Linked DNA regions of Arabidopsis thaliana. The protein of the gene in region 1 interacts with the protein of each later gene in a pairwise test. Each region holds a gene or a part of one and is shown in the gene's direction. Other genes may lie near its edges.

Region 1 (8,379 bases):
CATATTACATACGCGGAAAAACTGTATGTTATATATCTCTTGACTCCTTTTTAACCCAAGAGAAAAAGCTTATCAGAATCTCTTGTTACTGCATTATTGGGGTTTATTCAAAGTTGAAGACACAAGGTTTTTGCTCGAATAATTTGGCATTCTTTTGCTCCATGGAACTTGACCTTCTCTTCTGTTTGTTGACTTCTAAAACTCCATCGGCCCTTGTGGCATTGTTAATGTATGTATGAATATAATCTGATACACCAACCAATCATTAAGATTTGGGTTTGAAATCTGTCTCTTCCGTGGATGAGATATGCTACATGTCACAAGAACTGGTCTTAGCTTTGGTAGATAAGACTTGTCTTAGAGCAAGTCTTGAAATCTGGAAATCTATTTTGCAGTAATCTTGTCACAACAACCATAACCTAATCAGTCAGTACCCTCCAAGAACATTAAAGTTAGATGATCCGACAAAACCTCTCAACAAGACCAAACTCTTTCCATATAAATACTCTTTAACACTGACACAAAGTTTCATCACTTTCTCTTGATCACTCACTGCATCAACAATGGCCAGAGAGAAGATTGTGGTGGCTGGTGGTACCACAAAGAGCTGGAAACTACTCTTGGGGCTGAGAATATTTGCATTCATGGCTACTTTAGCTGCAGCCATTGTAATGTCACTAAACAAAGAGACAAAGACCTTGGTTGTGGCCACCATTGGTACTGTTCCTATTAAAGCCACTTTAACCGCTAAGTTTCAGCACACACCGGCTTTTGTGTAAGCGAGTAAAACCCTATACGAAATCGATTCGATACATATTGAAAGCAAAATGTTTTTGAGTTATTAACATTGATTCTTGGTTTTACAGGTTCTTTGTTATAGCTAATGTAATGGTGAGCTTCCACAACTTGTTGATGATTGTGGTTCAGATTTTCAGCCGGAAACTGGAGTACAAAGGTCTTCGTCTCCTCTCTATCGCCATTCTTGACATGGTATAAACATTGGTTTTCAAATCAATTTACTGGTTTGATTTCAATTGAATTAGTTTGAACGTTTGGAAAAAAAGCTAAACGGTTTCTTGATAATCTAAAAAAACGTTGGAAAAAAAGCTAAACGCAACACTAGTATCTGCGGCTGCAAACGCGGCGGTGTTCGTGGCAGAGCTAGGGAAGAACGGAAACAAGCACGCCAAGTGGAACAAAGTCTGCGACAGGTTCACCACTTACTGTGATCACGGCGCAGGAGCAATCATCGCAGCATTCGCCGGAGTCATTCTAATGCTCCTCGTGTCCGCCGTCTCTATTTCCCGCCTCTTAATCAATTCTAAAAACTTCTCCACCACCGCCACCACAACCTCCGTCGTCTAAAACATCGTGGCCAAAAATTCAGCAACATGTGTGTGACCATTTTATAGATGTTGTGGCTTACTTTGTGTGTTTGTCTCTCAAGTCACTAGCAAATTGTGTAATGCACTCCTTTGTTCTATCACTTTCACATTTGTATTCAAGTTTTCATTTCTCTCTTATCTTTTTATATAATTCTAAAATGACAAAAAAAAATTCACAAAGTATATAGTACATTGAAACAATGAGAAAAATCTACAATAGATGATTAGATAAGACCAATTCAAGATAATTTATACCTTTTATTTCTCAACTACTTCTTCTATTTATGGAAATATAATTCTAATCAATTGTTAGTTTTTTACATTAAAATGAATTATATCAACCGACTAAAAAACAAATCAGTATTAGTTCTATCGCATTGTAGTTCCCATACAACTTAATTTTTGTGTTGTAAATAATGATCCTACTGTCTCTAATAAATGTGAATCAATAATCATAACTATTGAAATCCTTTTCTTTTTGGTTAGTAAAAATGAAGTGTAAATAGTATAACTGTTTAATTTAGTTCAGATATACAAATCAACAAAACTACTTAATTTGAAGATTAATTCAGTTTTTTTTTTTTTTTAATTTTCTGTTTATAAAACTACTGAATTTTATTTGGTATAAATGGATTGAAGATTTTATTACAAAACAAAATCACATTTGGCGGCTTCTTCTTTTTATGTTCTAAACCCTTTTCTTAGATCGGACTCCAAGAAATCTACTTGCTTTAATCGTTAACCTAATAAATTCTTCTCTAAGTTTTTTTTTTCTTAACTCATCAAAGAAGGAAAGAAAAAAAAAAACCTCTTTCACAGATATTTAACCAAAAGGTTTTAGATTTATACTATACGTTACAAATAAAATTCGAGAGTCAAATTCAATCTTGGGAAAAGCTTTTGTTCCGAATCTTGGCCCCTTCACGAAGGTACACTTATCATCTCACTCTCTATTTCCAGACACAAATCTATATGCGTTCTGGGTTTTTTTAGGGTTTCGAAAACGGCACTGCATTTCATCAAGTAAGGGTTTGTTTTTTATTTAACAGATCTTTGTTCTTCCTTAGGTCACGGGTTAAAAGTATCGATCTTTGTGAACTTAATCTCACTGTAAATGGATCAGCTTGCATCTCTAGCAGAGTCTGTGGCTATGGAGGTTTCTCATCTTTATCCTTTTGCTTCTTTGATTTGTGTTTTTTGCTTTCTCCTCCATTTGTAACCTCTAATTTGCATGTTTGCTAGATTCAATTAGCACTGTTGCAGTTTCTGAATGTGGAATTGTGTTTATTTCTTGCAGGAAGATTCTGAGAAACAATCGATTAAAGGAGAGAGTAGTCTTGAACCTGACTCTACTCCTTCTAGTCCTAAAGTAAGTTAATTGGGTTTCTAGCAAAGTATTGGTTGGGTAAAGAGGTTGATGGCTTATCTATGTGCTAAACCCGTTTGAGTCTGAAAATCCAATCAATTCTAGTTTTAATTAAGTTCGTGGCTTTTGCTTATCAGTATCTTCCTTCAAAGATCTCATCTTTCTGAGAGTCGTTCTTATTGTATTTGTTTTAGATTAAGCAAAATCTATTTACTTGGGTCTTAAGAATTTAGCAATCTCATCTGGATCTTATTAGATTGTTTGTTGTGTTAGCTATCTGATTGTCCAAGAGCAGATGAATCTGATTCATGAATGATATCGTTTTGTTGCGTATTTGAAGATAACTGCTAGGTGGAATCCATCAGAAGCTTGCAGGCCTTTGGTTGATGACGCTCCCATCTTTTATCCCACTAATGAGGTATTTAAAATACTCGAGTTGCAATTTTGGTTCTGTCTTGGTAGTTAAATTGTTATCTTATCTGAAAATTTTGATCCTTATGATACTGCTTCATGGTCAGGATTTTGATGATCCACTTGGTTACATAGAGAAGTTGCGCTCTAAAGCAGAATCATATGGCATATGTCGAATTGTGCCGCCTGTTGCATGGAGGCCCCCTTGCCCTCTGAAGGAGAAAAAAATATGGGAGAATTCTAAATTTCCCACCCGGATTCAGTTCATTGACTTGCTTCAAAACCGAGAACCGATTAAAAAATCTACTAAAACCAAGAAGAGAAAACGGAGAAGAATCTCTAAAATTGGATACACAAGAAGAAAAAGAGATTCAGGCTGTGATACGGCTTCCTCTGGCTCTAGTGATAGTGAAGGAAAATTTGGTTTTCAGACTGGGCCAGATTTTACCCTGGAAGAATTTCAGAAGTATGATGAATACTTTAAGGAATGCTATTTTCAGTCAGAGGATCATCCTGGTTCCAAAGCGTCTGAAAATAAGAAATTTAAACCTAAGGTTAAGGACCTTGAAGGTGAATATTGGCGGATAGTGGAGCAGGCAACTGATGAAGTAGAGGTATGTACATGCAGCAATATAATGACATATCAACTATTTGTGTCTTTCTTGGTTTCACCATTTTCTTTTGCATTTATTTGAATTTGATGTTCTTCGAACTTGCTACTCTTGTTTTTGGTCCTATGACAGGTGTACTATGGAGCTGACTTGGAAACAAAGAAATTTGGAAGTGGTTTCCCAAAGTATAAACCGGGGTATCCTATAAGTGAAGCAGATCAATACTCTCAATGTGGTTGGAACCTAAATAATTTGTCCCGTCTGCCCGGATCAGTTCTAGCTTTTGAGAGCTGCGATATCTCAGGAGTCATTGTGCCATGGCTTTATGTTGGAATGTGCTTTTCAACTTTTTGTTGGGTAAGTTTCATTTTCTTAGGGTAGACTCTTGCTAATTACTGAATCGCATGAATAATCTTTTGATATTTCCTGGAAATTATATGTTGCTGAAAAAAAGCTGATGGAGTTCTATTAAAACCTGTTATTGAATCAAAATTTTATTACTTAAAGGATGTCATGCCTTTGGGACCAAAGTTATGGAATTGATGCATTTTTTGTGTGCTTTCTAGGAGCTATGTACTAACCATCTGCTATTTACCCCCTTACTTTGTTTGAAACAGCATGTTGAAGATCATCACCTTTATTCCATGAACTACTTACACACAGGTGATCCAAAAGTTTGGTATGGGATCCCTGGAAACCATGCTGAGTCTTTTGAAAATGTAATGAAAAAGCGTCTTCCAGATTTGTTTGAAGAACAGCCTGACTTGCTACATCAACTGGTGAAAGTTTCTCCCAATTCGTTTTTCATTTCAAGCTCTGCTGATTAATTAGAACTCCTTACGTGTGTAATTTTGGAGATGATATGGCGAGAGCTGTCTTTTGGTTAAGATAATATGTATCTCACTCTGCACCTCCTATTGTTATCAGGTCACTCAGTTATCTCCAAGAATCTTAAAAGAGGAGGGAGTACCTGTCTATCGAGCTGTCCAGCGCAGTGGAGAATTCATTCTAACCTTCCCTAAGGCCTATCATTCTGGGTTTAATTGTGGTTTCAACTGTGCGGAAGCAGTAAATGTTGCACCAGTTGATTGGCTGGTTCATGGACAGAATGCAGTGGAAGGCTATAGCAAGCAGCGGCGAAAGAGTTCATTGTCACATGACAAGCTGCTTCTTGGAGCTGCTATGGAAGCTACTTATTGCCTCTGGGAGCTTTCACTTTCAAAGAAGAAGACTCCTGTGATTGCGAGATGGAAAAGGGTTTGTAGTGAGGATGGATTGCTTACGAAGGCAGTCAAGGTAATTTTGGTTCTCTGTTCTTTTTTCTGTGTGCATGCATGTACAATACACACTCAAAAAAGCATAGGCTATATGTTACATTTCATAGATTGACAACTATCCTCTGAAGTAATAGTGTACTAGTCTACCTGATTTTTGATAAGATTGAAACAAACATCTTCAATGGCACTAACATAGCTGTGGTTAGCAGAAGCGTGTGCAGATGGAAGAAGAAAGACTAAATCACCTTCAAGATGGTTTTAGCTTGCGAAAGATGGAGGGTGATTTCGACAATAAGAGAGAACGGGAGTGCTTCTTGTGCTTCTATGATTTGCATATGTCTGCTTCAAGCTGCAAGTGTTCCCCCAACCGGTTTGCATGTCTTATCCACGCTAAGGATCTGTGTTCATGTGAAAGTAAGGATAGATATATCCTAATTCGCCACACCTTGGATGAGTTATGGGCACTGGTCAGAGCTCTAGAAGGGGATCTTGATGCCATAGACCTATGGGCAAGTAAATGTCGTGACCAGTATCCTTCACAGCATCCAAGAGCAAGAGAATATGCTTACCTCAAGTCTGCCCCATGTATAAAGAGCCGTGGTTCATCAAAAGTACAGCAGCGAGAACAAAACAATCTTCAGTTAGTGTCTGAACGCTTACAAAGTGATCTAACCTCAAACAAGGAAGTTCAGTTGAAACAAGATGGTGATTCAGATGTAAATCGCCATGGTCATGAAAGCGAAAGAAATCATGTACATGGGATCACTGATAAGTCAGCTGTCACGGATGTAAAACTTGGTGTGGGAGGTAAGTTTGATGAGAAGAAGATTTCGGTTGAATCTCAAAACCCACATTCAGTTTCAGATGTAGGGTGTAGCGAGCTGGCGAAGAAAGTGGATGGTTGTTTAGGAGGGAAGGACCAAAATGCTGCAACCAATAGGTTAAGTCTCTCTGTTGAGCTTTTGAGTTCTGGATCTCTCGTTGTTAAAAAGCTGTGGTGCAGTAAACAGGCCATATACCCAAAAGGTGATGAATTGAGAATTTTGGATGAGCTTTATACTTTAGTATTTTATTTTTTATGTCTTCTGAGACTTTTGCTTTTGATTGTATGTTACAGGGTTCAAGAGCCGTGTTAAGTTCTTAAGTGTGCTTGACCCAACAAACCTAACCAACTACATCTCAGAGGTTCTGGATGCAGGGCTTCTTGGTCCATTGTTCAGGGTACACTAACTACGTAGTGGTTTCGAGAATATAACTGAATATCTATTTATCATGCAGAACACATGAAGGTGGTAAGTTACTGATCAATCAGTATTATTTCCAGGTCTCAGTAGAAGATTACCCCACTGAGAATTTCTCGAATGTATCTGCTGAAAAGTGCTGGCAAATGGTGACACAAAGGCTCAAACTCGAAATCATCAAGAAATGTGATCAACCAGTTAGCTCTTTGACCTCTTTACAACCTTTGGAGAGTATAAATGGGCTTGAAATGTTTGGATTTCTCTCCCCGCACGTAATTAAGGTGACAATCAATTTCTCATGCATAGCCATAAAACTATGATATCCTGAATCTTCTTGCGGTGGAAAGTTTTTTTTTTTTTTTTTTTCTTCTACTTTGCTGGATGAGAGAAGCTCCCATCTTCTGTTTCAGTCCCCTTGAGCATCTCTCTTACTCGCCTACATGACCAAATTTCCATATGTACTTTTTAGCGTTTTGGACTGAAAGTTGACCATTGTGCACAGGTGGTTGAGGCTCTTGATCCAAAGCATCAATTGGAGGAGTATTGGAACCAAAAAGCAGTGAAACTGTTTGGTGCTGAACCAATAAAGGAAGGAGAAAAGGATGATACAGAGAAAGGAGGGGCTTCAGATCCCTCTTTGGACCGGGACACAAGGCTTCTGCGTGGACTGTTGAAGAAGGCGACACCTGAAGAATTAGTAATGATGCATGGACTTCTGTGTGGTGAGACTCGCAACACCGAGCTCAAGGAAGAGCTCTCTACTTTGGTTGATAAGATGGAGATAAGTCCTTAAGGAGGAGCAAGCAGATAAACACACTAACACCCTTTGAAGTTGATTGTGTTTGTTGTTCCTTTGGTTATAAACTGTATCAGTAGAGAAATCTAGAGAGGCAATACAAAAGTAGACAAAAGGGTTACTTCGTTGACATGTCTTTCCTTTTTACCAAAAAAGGGTTTAGGATTAATGATTGTATTATACTGTGTTGCATTTGCAATGTACCATTGTTCTCTATATTTCATTTGCTTATTTGTAACAGCTTTTATGATTAGTAGACGATTTCAAACAACAACCAGATCCAAAATTGAACCAACCTGTATGAGCTGTTGTAACAAGATAAAATAACATACTTTAGAGTTTTAGCTGCTCGTGTTTTAAGAAAAATACATGCATAAATTCGAATTTAGAGCCTATATAATCAATCTTTCCCACAGTACTTGGGACAAACGATAATATGTTTTTTTTGAATCTTTGGACTGAAAAGAAGCCAAGTGTAAATATGAATATGTACAAAGAGGAGAAACTTTAAGTGAGATCATCCTCGTCTAGATCGTCATTAGTGTTCATCTGAATTGCAGTAACATCTCCAGTGGGTAGCTTCCTAGCCAACTTGATAATCTGCAGACAAAATACTTATCCGTATAAGATTCCAGTAGTTTAATGAAACATTCTGTGATCATATGGTGTCACAATAACCAGCATAATGCAGAACAAATACATTCGGAAACACAGAAAGACATAATTAGGATTAGGATTCGACAGATCATTTAAGTGAATTACCATATGATCCAAATTCGAGACAGTGCTTGCACTCGCCACCTTCTTGATTTCTTCAATGTCACCTTCATTATAGGCGGTGAGAAGTCTACTAGCACTTCGGCTCTGATCACTCTTCAGAAAGGCATCAATCCTAACCATGAGAAGAAAAATATTCAGACACTAATTTGGTATCACAATTCCTAAAGAGTTCATGTTTTCTTGTTCATAGTAACATATATGATCCATATAAAAAGAGAAAAGTGTACTCACTGAGAACAGTCATTGTAGCATTTTTCTGCCTGCTGCAGGTCGTGAGCATACAGATATAAGATGATTGCACTGAGATAGGCCTGAAATAACATTCAGAAAACAGTTAAATCACAAGTCATAACAATAACATTCAGAGATACAAGGGAATCGGTCTGAGCTAAGCAGAAAGCAGCAAGGTCGAACAGAGATGGTTAGGAGCACATATACTCATACCTTACACTGGCTATTTGTCGCATCACACTTATCAGCAGCTACACCCAATCTTAAGAAAAAGGTTGCAG
Region 2 (5,658 bases), on another chromosome or scaffold:
ATCCTTCTTTGTATATATTTAAATGAATCAACTAAAATACATAGAAATAAAAAATTTCTCTATACTATTATTTTCAGTTGATCCATTCAAATCATTTTCTAAAAACTTATGTCACGTTCATGTATACTTTTAGTTAAAGAATGTTTTTTTTTTTTTGGATTGGAAAAAAAAAAAGCTCAAACCTTTTAAGAAAATAAAGCTCATGAAAAGAGCGTGACGGGTCCAACTCTTTTTTTTGGTTAAATTTGCAATTTAAACAGATTACTTGTTCATGTTGACATTGAAATAGCAGGTCGAGAGCGAGAGATCAAAATGCAATGTATTATGCCCTTAATTTATGCTTTTATATATTTTGTTTATTAATGTCACATATCTTATTATGGATATACTTTGCAACGGATCACAAATCTTACCCTGAAATATGCAACCTGTTACCGGAATTGAAATTTCATAACACACTATTCTCAGCTCTTCAAGATTCAGTGTTTCATTCGTGAAGACGAATGCATGTTGTTCTAGTCTCGATACGAGAAACTGCGTTTATGAAAATAAGAAAAAGAAGAATAAATTAGCATGGGCTTGATTTACACCCGTCCGTCACCGAAATGGGCTACAAATAAATCATGGGCTTTTAATATTCTAACTTAGAAGAAATTTGGCCCATTGCTTAAACACGAGGCACAAACCATATATTTTTTTTGAGCCAAAAAAAAAAGTCTTGATATTTTAGCATTTTGTCCTTTTTGGAGACAGTGGTGTCAGATAGCTGACAACCTATATAAATAAATAAATAAAATAGAGTTTTCTTTTACTCTTACTTTCTTTATTAGTTTCATAATAATATGTGTAAAAGTAAGAGTTGGATATTTTTCGTTTTAATTTCTGCCTTCGAATTAGTTACGCATACAAAGCATAAGAGACAAGAGACATAGCGTACCAAAAAAGAAGAAAATAGTGCAAAAATATCATATAGTTTTCTGGTACGCCTCATCAATTCCACCCCCGTACACCATAATTATATAGAATTTCAATATCGAAATGTCGACAGCAACAAAATTCAACATGTCGAATAATATTGTTTTAAATATTCCATTTTACTAGAAGATGAAAAAAAGAGAGAAGAAAGTAACCTTTTGTCTTTGTCACCTTGACTTAAACAGTAATACAAACCCCACAAGTAAATTATTCAAGTTCAAATCGTAGTTAATGTTTATATTTGAGAATTGCAAATGGTTTAAACGAAAACCAAACTACGAATTACAAATTTGAAGAGGACTTGTACTAGAAAATAAATAGAGAAAAGAAGAATAATAAATAGTAACAGAAAATGGGAAAGATGATGATTCGTGTGGACCAAGTCTCTCCTCCCCTTTAGCTTGCCTTATTGGTAAAGTATCCTCCTGCAAGCAAACGTATCTGTCACTCCTTTTTTATTTTCTTTCACCTTCTATCTTATTCTCATTAATTCTTCTTTTTTGGTCAACTTCATGTATAGAAAATAATACCAAAATTTTTTGATATAGTAAAACTATTAGAACTGAATTTCAAACAAAAATAATACAAATTTAAGCAAAAAAATATTAAAAATAAATTTTAAAGAATATTTTTACATATAATAAATATACATAGTTGATACTTTTATATAATTATTAATTTATGATATTAATGAGACCATATATTTACATAGAACATTCAAAATAATTATTATCTTATTAATCTATCGATATATATCACTTTTTATACTAGTTTTTGGAATCTTAATAATTTATTAATTTGTAGAAGTTATTAATTTATAGAGGTTTTACTGTACATGTCAGCATTTAACTTTTGATAAGCACAAAACCATTACATATTTTCCAACCAGATTATTTTCTATTTATCCTAGCGTTTGTAAATCTTTGAACTACAATAATTTATCAAATACAATATAAGATTTTTATACTAAAGATGTATACAATGCATTTAACATTAAAGGAAACAAATAAACTCTAATCTTTTAAAAAAATACTTTACCTTTTAAAAAGAGTTATTAATCACATAAGCAATATTTAATTTTTCATTATTTTTTTCATCATCTGTCTAACATATTACTTTTTAAAAAATATTTATCGTTGGATACTTACTTTTCAGACCACACACTAGGACTAGTGGTTCCTTTATTTTACTGCATAGAACGACAACAAAAAGCTAAGCAGTAACATTTTTTAGGGTTTTATTACTGCAACACTCAAAAATGAGAAATTATTATTAAAATTGAAAATGAAAAATAGTAATCGCAATCCGAAATTACTTTTTTTCTAGCCTTCTAGGAACTCGAAAAGAAAGCAAATTTCTTGCAATTGAAGGTACCTGCTTCTCTTTTTCTGGTTTGTCTGGTTTCATATTAAAAAAAACATTTTGACAACTATATTTCTGGTTTGTCTGAAAAAATTGAGAAGAAAACCTAGAAACAAATACGGTCTTTTTTTTTTCTTTTTATGGGTCGCGAATCTCTGGCTGTTGTGTCCTCGCCGCCATCGGCGACTGCGCCCAGTACTGCTGTGTCGGCTACCTCGCTTGCTCCTGGCTTTCGATTTCATCCGACTGATGAGGAACTCGTGAGCTATTACTTGAAGAGGAAGGTTCTGGGTAAACCTGTACGCTTCGATGCGATTGGAGAGGTAGATATCTACAAGCATGAGCCCTGGGATTTAGCAGGTTCGTTAGGTTTCTTCTTCTTCATTTCTGCTTATCTCTATGATTTGGGGGTTTCTGTGAATTTGATGCTTCTGATTTGGGATTTTTGTCGCCTGGGCTTATTGGTTGTTCCGTCTTCTGGCTCAATTCTGGGAAATGAGTTTAGCTTTTACGTGCTCCGATTCGTTTTCTGGGAAATTTTTTGTTGCAGAGAAGATTCTCTGTTCGTACCTGGCGCTAAGTTTAGGCAATTAGGCTTTAACACTGTGAAGACATTCCATCCAATTGACTTCTTAACTGAAGAAAGTCGAATTTTCTTCAGATTGCTTTAAGAATTTCGTGTTTGCTTGTGCTACAGTTATGTTTGCTTGTGCTACAGTTATGTTTGCTTGTGGATCAGGAAATGAAGTTTGTTGCTTGTGTGTTTGGCTATCTGAAGTGTTCTCAAGTATGATCTGAAAGAAAAAAAACCTTGTGATGTGTTGTGTGTTTCAGTGTTTTCGAAGTTGAAAACTCGGGACCAAGAATGGTACTTCTTCAGTGCGTTAGATAAGAAGTACGGTAATGGTGCTAGGATGAATCGAGCAACTAACAAAGGGTACTGGAAAGCAACTGGAAAAGACAGAGAAATCCGCCGGGATATTCAGTTGCTCGGTATGAAAAAGACGCTTGTTTTCCACAGCGGGCGTGCTCCAGACGGCCTTCGGACTAATTGGGTCATGCACGAGTATCGCCTTGTGGAATATGAAACTGAAACTAACGGAAGCCTGCTGGTATTATGTTGTCCAAAAGAGTTACTTTTGAATTGGGGTTATCTCATTTTGTAAGAATCCTATCTTATCTTACTTCTTTGTCTGGGTGCAGCAGGATGCATATGTGTTGTGCAGAGTGTTTCACAAGAATAACATTGGGCCACCAAGTGGGAACAGATATGCGCCATTCATGGAAGAAGAATGGGCTGATGGTGGAGGAGCTCTGATTCCAGGAATAGACGTTAGGGTCAGGGTAGAGGCTCTACCACAAGCCAATGGAAACAACCAGATGGACCAGGTTTGTACTTTCTTTATACTCAAATGTTTCTTATATGCATAACCTCTGTGATACATCCCTCTAATGTGAATCATCTCTCTTGATTCACAAGATATTATATTTCTTATTGCAAAAGCTCTTTGCTTCTCTAAGTGCTGTTTCAGTGGGCTGATTTACTTAAACTGCACAATTCCATTAAGTTTGCTATCACCTTTTGTAGAACTCAGCTCAACCTTACAGCTTTATCTAATGAAAGGTCTCTCTTGATTCACAAGATATCTAATTTTTCTTTATGGTCCTTTTTCTTTGAGATTTATCCTTTGATTACATGATATTTCAGACTTACAATCTTCGTTTGGCATTAAAGGTGCTCAACAAGAGAAATATTTATTGTGTTTTGGTTAATCTGCAAAGTCGATCAACGCGTTTTGGTTTGAGATATTTTATGTCTGTTGGGGTTCACATAACTTGTAATTTGTTGTAGGAAATGCATTCAGCAAGCAAGGATCTCATTAACATCAACGAGCTACCGAGAGATGCTACTCCAATGGACATCGAACCTAACCAACAGAATCATCATGAGAGTGCCTTCAAGCCACAGGAGAGTAACAACCATAGTGGTTATGAAGAAGATGAGGACACACTCAAACGCGAGCACGCAGAAGAAGATGAGCGTCCTCCTTCTCTATGCATTCTCAACAAAGAAGCTCCACTACCTCTCCTGCAATACAAACGTAGACGCCAAAACGAGTCCAACAACAACTCAAGCAGGAACACACAGGACCATTGTTCGTCCACAATAACAACCGTCGACAATACAACCACCTTAATCTCATCATCTGCTGCTGCTGCTACCAACACTGCCATCTCTGCATTGCTTGAGTTCTCACTTATGGGTATCTCCGACAAGAAAGAAAACCAGCAGAAAGAGGAAACTTCTCCTCCTAGTCCAATTGCATCTCCTGAAGAGAAGGTTAATGATCTCCAGAAGGAGGTTCACCAGATGTCTGTTGAAAGAGAAACTTTCAAGCTTGAGATGATGAGTGCAGAGGCTATGATCAGCATTCTCCAGTCAAGAATCGATGCGCTGCGTCAGGAGAACGAGGAACTTAAGAAGAAGAACGCCAGTGGACAAGCTAGTTAAACCACCGCAACATCTCTCCAGGTGTCTTCTTCTTCTTCTTCTTCTTCTTTGCCTCTTAGCTGTAATCTTCTTAATAGTATGAGCTATGGATGTAGCTTCTTCAGACGGATCAGAAACCTTATGAATCTCTGTTGTAAAATTAGGATAAAACGGAACGGAGCCAACCAACTAGGTCTTTTTATTTTATCCTTTTTTACTTTGGATGTTTCTGCATCTTTTGGGAACATTTTCAGGCTGATCCATTGTCGTATATTATCATCTATCTATCTAGTCTTTTCAGACAAGAACTCGCTTTTGTTTGGTTTCCTCTCAAGAAATGTTCAGTCTCCATAAAGAAAGCTTTTTCCTTGGGGTAATCATTAGTGGTCAGATATGAGGGCATAATCGTCATTGTCATTTGAAATGACCTTCTGGTCTTCCGGACAAGAACCACTCTGTTGCTTGATGTTTCTGTGTGACTGTCTCCACAGTCCACAGGGAAGAGAGCTTCTTAGGTAAAGTCGTGATTAGTGGAAATGATTGAGGGTATAATCGTCATTGACTAATTCAGCGTTACGATTTAGGAATGTGGTTCCGTCAACGACGTTAGAAGACTTTTGTTACACGTAATTTGCAATTATTTGTTTTTTCTCTAAAAGCGAAAAGCGCTTGGTACGATTCAAGCCTGGATTCCATCTCTCTCCCATTAAGTTTTCAAGAAGAAGTTTTGATCACAGACGTATTTTCGAAATGGTTTCATATCTTACTAGGCAATGGAATTTCGTAGGTGTTATAGAGTTTGGTGTTTATATTTTACTTTTAACTACATC
Region 3 (6,590 bases), on another chromosome or scaffold:
TTTGTAGAACTCAGCTCAACCTTACAGCTTTATCTAATGAAAGGTCTCTCTTGATTCACAAGATATCTAATTTTTCTTTATGGTCCTTTTTCTTTGAGATTTATCCTTTGATTACATGATATTTCAGACTTACAATCTTCGTTTGGCATTAAAGGTGCTCAACAAGAGAAATATTTATTGTGTTTTGGTTAATCTGCAAAGTCGATCAACGCGTTTTGGTTTGAGATATTTTATGTCTGTTGGGGTTCACATAACTTGTAATTTGTTGTAGGAAATGCATTCAGCAAGCAAGGATCTCATTAACATCAACGAGCTACCGAGAGATGCTACTCCAATGGACATCGAACCTAACCAACAGAATCATCATGAGAGTGCCTTCAAGCCACAGGAGAGTAACAACCATAGTGGTTATGAAGAAGATGAGGACACACTCAAACGCGAGCACGCAGAAGAAGATGAGCGTCCTCCTTCTCTATGCATTCTCAACAAAGAAGCTCCACTACCTCTCCTGCAATACAAACGTAGACGCCAAAACGAGTCCAACAACAACTCAAGCAGGAACACACAGGACCATTGTTCGTCCACAATAACAACCGTCGACAATACAACCACCTTAATCTCATCATCTGCTGCTGCTGCTACCAACACTGCCATCTCTGCATTGCTTGAGTTCTCACTTATGGGTATCTCCGACAAGAAAGAAAACCAGCAGAAAGAGGAAACTTCTCCTCCTAGTCCAATTGCATCTCCTGAAGAGAAGGTTAATGATCTCCAGAAGGAGGTTCACCAGATGTCTGTTGAAAGAGAAACTTTCAAGCTTGAGATGATGAGTGCAGAGGCTATGATCAGCATTCTCCAGTCAAGAATCGATGCGCTGCGTCAGGAGAACGAGGAACTTAAGAAGAAGAACGCCAGTGGACAAGCTAGTTAAACCACCGCAACATCTCTCCAGGTGTCTTCTTCTTCTTCTTCTTCTTCTTTGCCTCTTAGCTGTAATCTTCTTAATAGTATGAGCTATGGATGTAGCTTCTTCAGACGGATCAGAAACCTTATGAATCTCTGTTGTAAAATTAGGATAAAACGGAACGGAGCCAACCAACTAGGTCTTTTTATTTTATCCTTTTTTACTTTGGATGTTTCTGCATCTTTTGGGAACATTTTCAGGCTGATCCATTGTCGTATATTATCATCTATCTATCTAGTCTTTTCAGACAAGAACTCGCTTTTGTTTGGTTTCCTCTCAAGAAATGTTCAGTCTCCATAAAGAAAGCTTTTTCCTTGGGGTAATCATTAGTGGTCAGATATGAGGGCATAATCGTCATTGTCATTTGAAATGACCTTCTGGTCTTCCGGACAAGAACCACTCTGTTGCTTGATGTTTCTGTGTGACTGTCTCCACAGTCCACAGGGAAGAGAGCTTCTTAGGTAAAGTCGTGATTAGTGGAAATGATTGAGGGTATAATCGTCATTGACTAATTCAGCGTTACGATTTAGGAATGTGGTTCCGTCAACGACGTTAGAAGACTTTTGTTACACGTAATTTGCAATTATTTGTTTTTTCTCTAAAAGCGAAAAGCGCTTGGTACGATTCAAGCCTGGATTCCATCTCTCTCCCATTAAGTTTTCAAGAAGAAGTTTTGATCACAGACGTATTTTCGAAATGGTTTCATATCTTACTAGGCAATGGAATTTCGTAGGTGTTATAGAGTTTGGTGTTTATATTTTACTTTTAACTACATCGTCCTATTATACGGAACCTGTCTTTTTTTTTTCCACACGGAACCCTGAATGATTGTACTTTTTGGTAGGTTTGTTCTTTATTCGAGAGTTGTAAAAAAACATTATTTACTTTTAAGATGACTACGAAAGTGTAATTTACTAAATTACTTTTCATTATTTACTCCCAAGTATAATTTACTACAAAAAGCTACGCAGTAAAATTTTGCTAGGGTTTATTACTGCGACATAATGAAATGTAAATCGAAAATTGGTATCGCAATCCAAAATACTTTTTTGTTGCTCTCTACTAGCCTGCCTTTCTGGGAACGCGAAAAGAAAGACAAAATTTTCTTGCAATTGAAGGTACCTCAAATCTTGTGCTTATCTCTTTGGTTTCTTCTTCGTCAAACCATCTGCCCAACTTGTGTTTTTGTTCTTCAGGTGAGGTTTGGTGAAAGGGAAATTGAGAAAACCCTAGAACAAGTACGGTCTCTATTTTGCTTTAATGGGTCGCGAATCTGTGGCTGTTGTGACTGCGCCGCCCTCGGCGACTGCTCCGGGTACTGCTTCGGTGGCGACCTCGCTTGCTCCTGGCTTCCGATTTCATCCGACTGATGAGGAACTCGTGAGCTATTACTTGAAGAGGAAGGTTCTGGGCCAACCTGTACGCTTCGATGCGATTGGAGAGGTCGATATATACAAGCATGAGCCCTGGGATTTAGCAGGTTCGCTGGGTTTCACTTCCACTCTCTCTTGGTTTCTGTGCATCTCTTCCATTTGGGGGTTTTCTGTGAATTTGTTGCTTCTGATTTGGGATTTTTGTGGTCTGGGCTTCTCTCGCTTCTTCTGACTCAATTCTTGGAAAAAAGGTTTTACCTTTTTAGGTTCCGATTCATTTTTCTGGGAAATTTTGTTGCAGATTCTCTGTTGTTACATTTTGCTATGTTTAGGCTATAACACCGTGAAGGTAGTATTTCATCTAATCGACTTCTTAAGTGGTTCAAATATTCGTTTTTTCCAGATTCCGTTAGAATTTTATGCTTACTTGTGCTATAGTTTTGTTTGCTTGTGGTTCAGGAAATGTAAAAAGTTTGAAGTTTTGAGTTAAGTCTGGTTTTAAGTAATTTCTTAGTTGTGTTGTGTGTTTAAGTGTTTTCGAGATTGAAGACAAGGGACCAAGAATGGTACTTCTACAGTGCATTAGATAAGAAGTATGGAAACGGTGCTAGGATGAACCGAGCAACTAACAGAGGGTACTGGAAAGCTACTGGAAAAGACAGAGAAATCCGCCGTGACATTCTGCTTCTCGGTATGAAAAAGACACTTGTTTTCCACAGTGGGCGTGCACCAGACGGGCTTCGGACTAATTGGGTTATGCATGAGTATCGCCTTGTGGAATATGAAACCGAGAAAAACGGAAACCTGGTGGTACTGTATTGTCCAAATTACTTTCGAATTTGGTTTATCTGATAATTTCCAAAAGATCTCAATTCTTTGTTTGGGTGCAGCAAGATGCATATGTGTTGTGTAGAGTCTTCCACAAGAATAACATTGGGCCACCAAGTGGGAACAGATATGCTCCGTTCATGGAAGAGGAATGGGCTGATGATGAAGGAGCTCTGATTCCAGGAATAGACGTTAAGCTCAGGCTAGAGCCGCCGCCAGTAGCCAATGGAAACGACCAGATGGACCAGGTTTGTGATTTCTTCTTACTCTGGCTTCATTACCCAAACCTTATTAGTTTCATTCAATATTTCTTGTATGCAAAAAACTCTGTTGAAATACTCTCTTTCTTAGTTTTCCATTGGGCTGAGTGAGTTTATTTAACTGCATTAGTCTATTTATGAACCAATCTACTATTTCAACGTTATTTAGTGCAAATGTACAAATTTATCTGATGCATCATTTCTCTTGTTTCACAAGATATTATATTTATTATCTGCAAAACTCTGTGTTGAAGTGAAGCTTCTCCTAATAACTGTTTCAGCGGGCTGTGACGCTAGTAACTCCATTTAGTCTGTAACCAACTCTTGTAGAAATCAACCTTATAGGTTTATCTGATGAATCAACTCTCTTGATTTAGAAGATATCTGAATTTTCGGTGGTCTTTTTTTTTTTTGTTTCTTGGGCTTTATTCTTAATCATACTGATTACAAGATCGTTCAAACTTTGCATCCTCATTTGACCAGCAATTTTACTGTGCATCATATGAACTCACTTAATTGATCAGTAAATGTTGACCAGAAGTAGAATGATTTGTTGTTTTAGTGAAAATGCAGTTTTAATCCTTCATCAGCAAAATTGATTGAAGCATTTGGTTTCAGATAATTTATGCGTCGTCTGGGGTTCACTTGTAATTTGTTGTAGGAAATCCAGTCAGCCAGCAAGAGTCTCATCAACATCAATGAGCCACCGAGAGAGACAGCTCCACTGGATATCGAATCGGACCAACAGAATCATCATGAGAATGACCTCAAGCCGGAGGAGCATAACAACAATAATAATTATGATGAAAACGAGGAAACACTCAAACGCGAGCAGATGGAAGAAGAGGAGCGTCCTCCTCGACCTGTATGCGTTCTCAACAAAGAAGCTCCATTACCTCTTCTGCAATACAAACGTAGACGCCAAAGCGAGTCCAACAACAACTCAAGCAGGAACACACAGGACCATTGTTCGTCCACAACAACAACTGTCGACAATACAACCACTTTAATCTCATCATCTGCCGCTGCCACCAACACTGCCATCTCTGCATTGCTTGAGTTCTCACTCATGGGTATCTCCGACAAGAAAGAAAAGCCGCAGCAACCGCTACGTCCTCACAAGGAACCTTTGCCTCCTCAAACTCCACTTGCATCTCCTGAAGAGAAGGTTAATGATCTCCAGAAGGAGATTCACCAGATGTCTGTTGAAAGAGAAACTTTCAAGCTTGAAATGATGAGTGCAGAAGCTATGATCAGTATTCTCCAGTCAAGGATCGATGCGCTGCGTCAGGAGAACGAGGAACTCAAGAAGAACAATGCTAATGGACAATAAAGGCTCTAAAAACATCTCTCCAGGTTACTTCTTATTGCCCTTCGCCTTTTATTTAGCTTTAATCTCCCTAATACTATGACCCATCTACATAGCTCCTCTAGACAGATTGCGAACTGTGTGAATCTCTGTTGTAACATAGGATAAAACGGATTCGAGCCCCTGAGCTGAGTGTTTTATCCTTCTTCTTTTTTTGTGTGGATGTTCTTGCATCTTTTGAGAACATTTTTTAGGTTGCTCCATTGTCATATATCATCTATCTATCTAGTCTTTTCAGACAAAAACTATCTTTAAGTTGTCTCGAGAATGTTGTCTTCATAACACACTGAGCCTTCTCTGGGGTAGTAGTGGTTAGGTACGAGGGCATAATTGTCATTTCCTTTGCATTATCATTTAGATTTCCAGACAAGAAGAACTTTCTTTGTTTAAAATAATTGGGAATTATGTTCGGTCTCCGGTAATACCGTGGTTAATGGTAAGGATATTTTCGGCTAGGATTACGAATGTGGATGCGTCAGCGACGTTAGAAGACTTTCGTTACACGTAATTTGCAATAATTTTAAAAAAGCGAAAAAGTGTTTGGTACGATTTTTTCAACTTCAAATATATTCTCTATTTATTTACTCTATTCAAACAAAATTGCATATAGTATAGAATTTTAGTCATCTTGATATTTATTGAAGTGGATAAATCTTCATTTGCGCGAACCAACCAACTACCTCAACAAATTCTAGAGACTTTAAAATTGATGACTAGTGCAAGACTTCCACGTGTCAGTTTAATAAAGACTGTCACCCGAAAACAGTCACAGCCAGTCACATGATATGCTCTCGCGGCACACTTTCCTGGAATATTAAAACCTCACGGCGTGAAACTTCTTTCGCACATTTTCTAGCTACGGTCGCTTAGCTCCGATTGGTTCGTCGTCACCATCACTCGTCTTCAACGATTTGCTTCTTTTTTTTTTCTCTCTATTTAGTCCCATTTTCCTCAATTTCTAAACCCCTTATTTCGAAATCATTGTTTTGCTCTTTCTTTTGATTCGAATTCGACAGAACAGCTCTTTTAAGTTATTCATAAACCTTGTGTTTGAGTTTTGGTCCATCGAGTATATGGGTCGTGGCTCAGTAACATCGCTCGCTCCTGGGTTTCGTTTTCATCCCACAGACGAAGAACTCGTTCGTTACTATCTGAAACGAAAGATCTGCAATAAACCTTTTAAGTTCGATGCTATCTCTGTTACCGATGTATACAAATCTGAGCCTTGGGATCTCCCAGGTCAGTTCTTCAATATGTTGATGATTTGATCGATATTGTATAGGAACCGATGATAGAATTTGAATTCTGTTTTGTATTTTGGTGGGAAATAGACAAGTCGAGGCTGAAAAGTAGAGACTTGGAGTGGTACTTCTTCAGTATGCTTGATAAGAAGTATAGAAATGGATCAAAGACGAATCGTGCGACTGAGATGGGATATTGGAAGACTACAGGGAAAGATCGAGAGATTCTTAATGGTTCAAAAGTCGTTGGGATGAAGAAGACTCTTGTTTATCACAAAGGTCGAGCTCCTCGTGGCGAAAGAACCAATTGGGTTATGCATGAGTATCGGTTGGTTGATCAAGACCTTGATAAAACTGGTGTTCACCAAGTAAGACTTTGATCTTTTTGAGTTCCTTGTTGTTTAATGGGATTTGTGTTGTTGACTTTGTTGTGGAATTGTGGGAAGGATGCGTTTGTGCTTTGTAGGATTTTTCAGAAGAGTGGCTCCGGACCTAAAAATGGAGAGCAGTACGGTGCTCCGTTTGTTGAGGAGGAGTGGGAGGAGGAGGATGATA

What was found.
Region 2: the proteins of JMJ14 (region 1) and NAC050 interact in binary tests that used the Arabidopsis thaliana proteins (3 or more experiments, as listed by UniProt).
Region 3: the proteins of JMJ14 (region 1) and NAC052 interact in a two-hybrid assay, tested with the Arabidopsis thaliana proteins (one study listed by BioGRID).

The regions. Positions count from the first base shown.
Region 1 is NC_003075.7:11,006,505-11,014,883, forward strand, and holds JMJ14 (JUMONJI 14), read left to right. Parts: upstream 1-2,053; 5' UTR 2,054-2,314; intron 2,315-2,452; 5' UTR 2,453-2,499; coding exon 2,500-2,541; intron 2,542-2,682; coding exon 2,683-2,754; intron 2,755-3,091; coding exon 3,092-3,169; intron 3,170-3,188; exon of another isoform or gene 3,189-3,248; coding exon of another isoform or gene 3,249-3,269; coding exon 3,270-3,776; intron 3,777-3,905; coding exon 3,906-4,130; intron 4,131-4,390; coding exon 4,391-4,552; intron 4,553-4,700; coding exon 4,701-5,069; intron 5,070-5,259; coding exon 5,260-6,076; intron 6,077-6,167; coding exon 6,168-6,271; intron 6,272-6,374; coding exon 6,375-6,572; intron 6,573-6,793; coding exon 6,794-7,084; 3' UTR 7,085-7,338; downstream 7,339-8,379. Other genes in the region: AT4G20390 (Uncharacterized protein family (UPF0497)), read left to right, coding at 564-775, 867-990, 1,108-1,365; GSNAP (gamma-soluble NSF attachment protein), read right to left, coding at 7,595-7,687, 7,850-7,979, 8,099-8,178, 8,312-8,379. UniProt on the Arabidopsis thaliana protein: Transcriptional repressor. Histone demethylase that demethylates 'Lys-4' (H3K4me) of histone H3 with a higher activity for H3K4me3 and H3K4me2 than H3K4me1. No activity on H3K9me3/2, H3K36me3/2 and H3K27me3/2.
Region 2 is NC_003074.8:3,261,933-3,267,590, forward strand, and holds NAC050 (NAC domain containing protein 50), read left to right. Parts: upstream 1-2,415; 5' UTR 2,416-2,477; coding exon 2,478-2,697; intron 2,698-2,887; coding exon 2,888-2,917; intron 2,918-2,998; coding exon 2,999-3,067; intron 3,068-3,171; coding exon 3,172-3,449; intron 3,450-3,540; coding exon 3,541-3,726; intron 3,727-3,869; coding exon 3,870-3,961; intron 3,962-4,072; coding exon 4,073-4,118; intron 4,119-4,189; coding exon 4,190-4,849; 3' UTR 4,850-5,158; downstream 5,159-5,658. UniProt on the Arabidopsis thaliana protein: Transcriptional repressor that binds to the motif 5'-(C/T)A(C/A)G-3' in the promoter of target genes. Also binds to the 5'-CTTGNNNNNCAAG-3' consensus sequence in chromatin.
Region 3 is NC_003074.8:3,265,851-3,272,440, forward strand, and holds NAC052 (NAC domain containing protein 52), read left to right. Parts: upstream 1-1,974; 5' UTR 1,975-2,082; intron 2,083-2,160; 5' UTR 2,161-2,224; coding exon 2,225-2,444; exon of another isoform or gene 2,445-2,869; coding exon 2,870-3,147; intron 3,148-3,227; coding exon 3,228-3,413; intron 3,414-4,043; coding exon of another isoform or gene 4,044-4,076; exon of another isoform or gene 4,077-4,086; coding exon 4,087-4,758; 3' UTR 4,759-5,352; downstream 5,353-6,590. Other genes in the region: NAC050 (NAC domain containing protein 50), read left to right, coding at 1-43, 155-200, 272-931; NAC053 (NAC domain containing protein 53), read left to right, coding at 5,868-6,033, 6,126-6,403, 6,482-6,590. UniProt on the Arabidopsis thaliana protein: Transcriptional repressor that binds to the motif 5'-(C/T)A(C/A)G-3' in the promoter of target genes. Also binds to the 5'-CTTGNNNNNCAAG-3' consensus sequence in chromatin.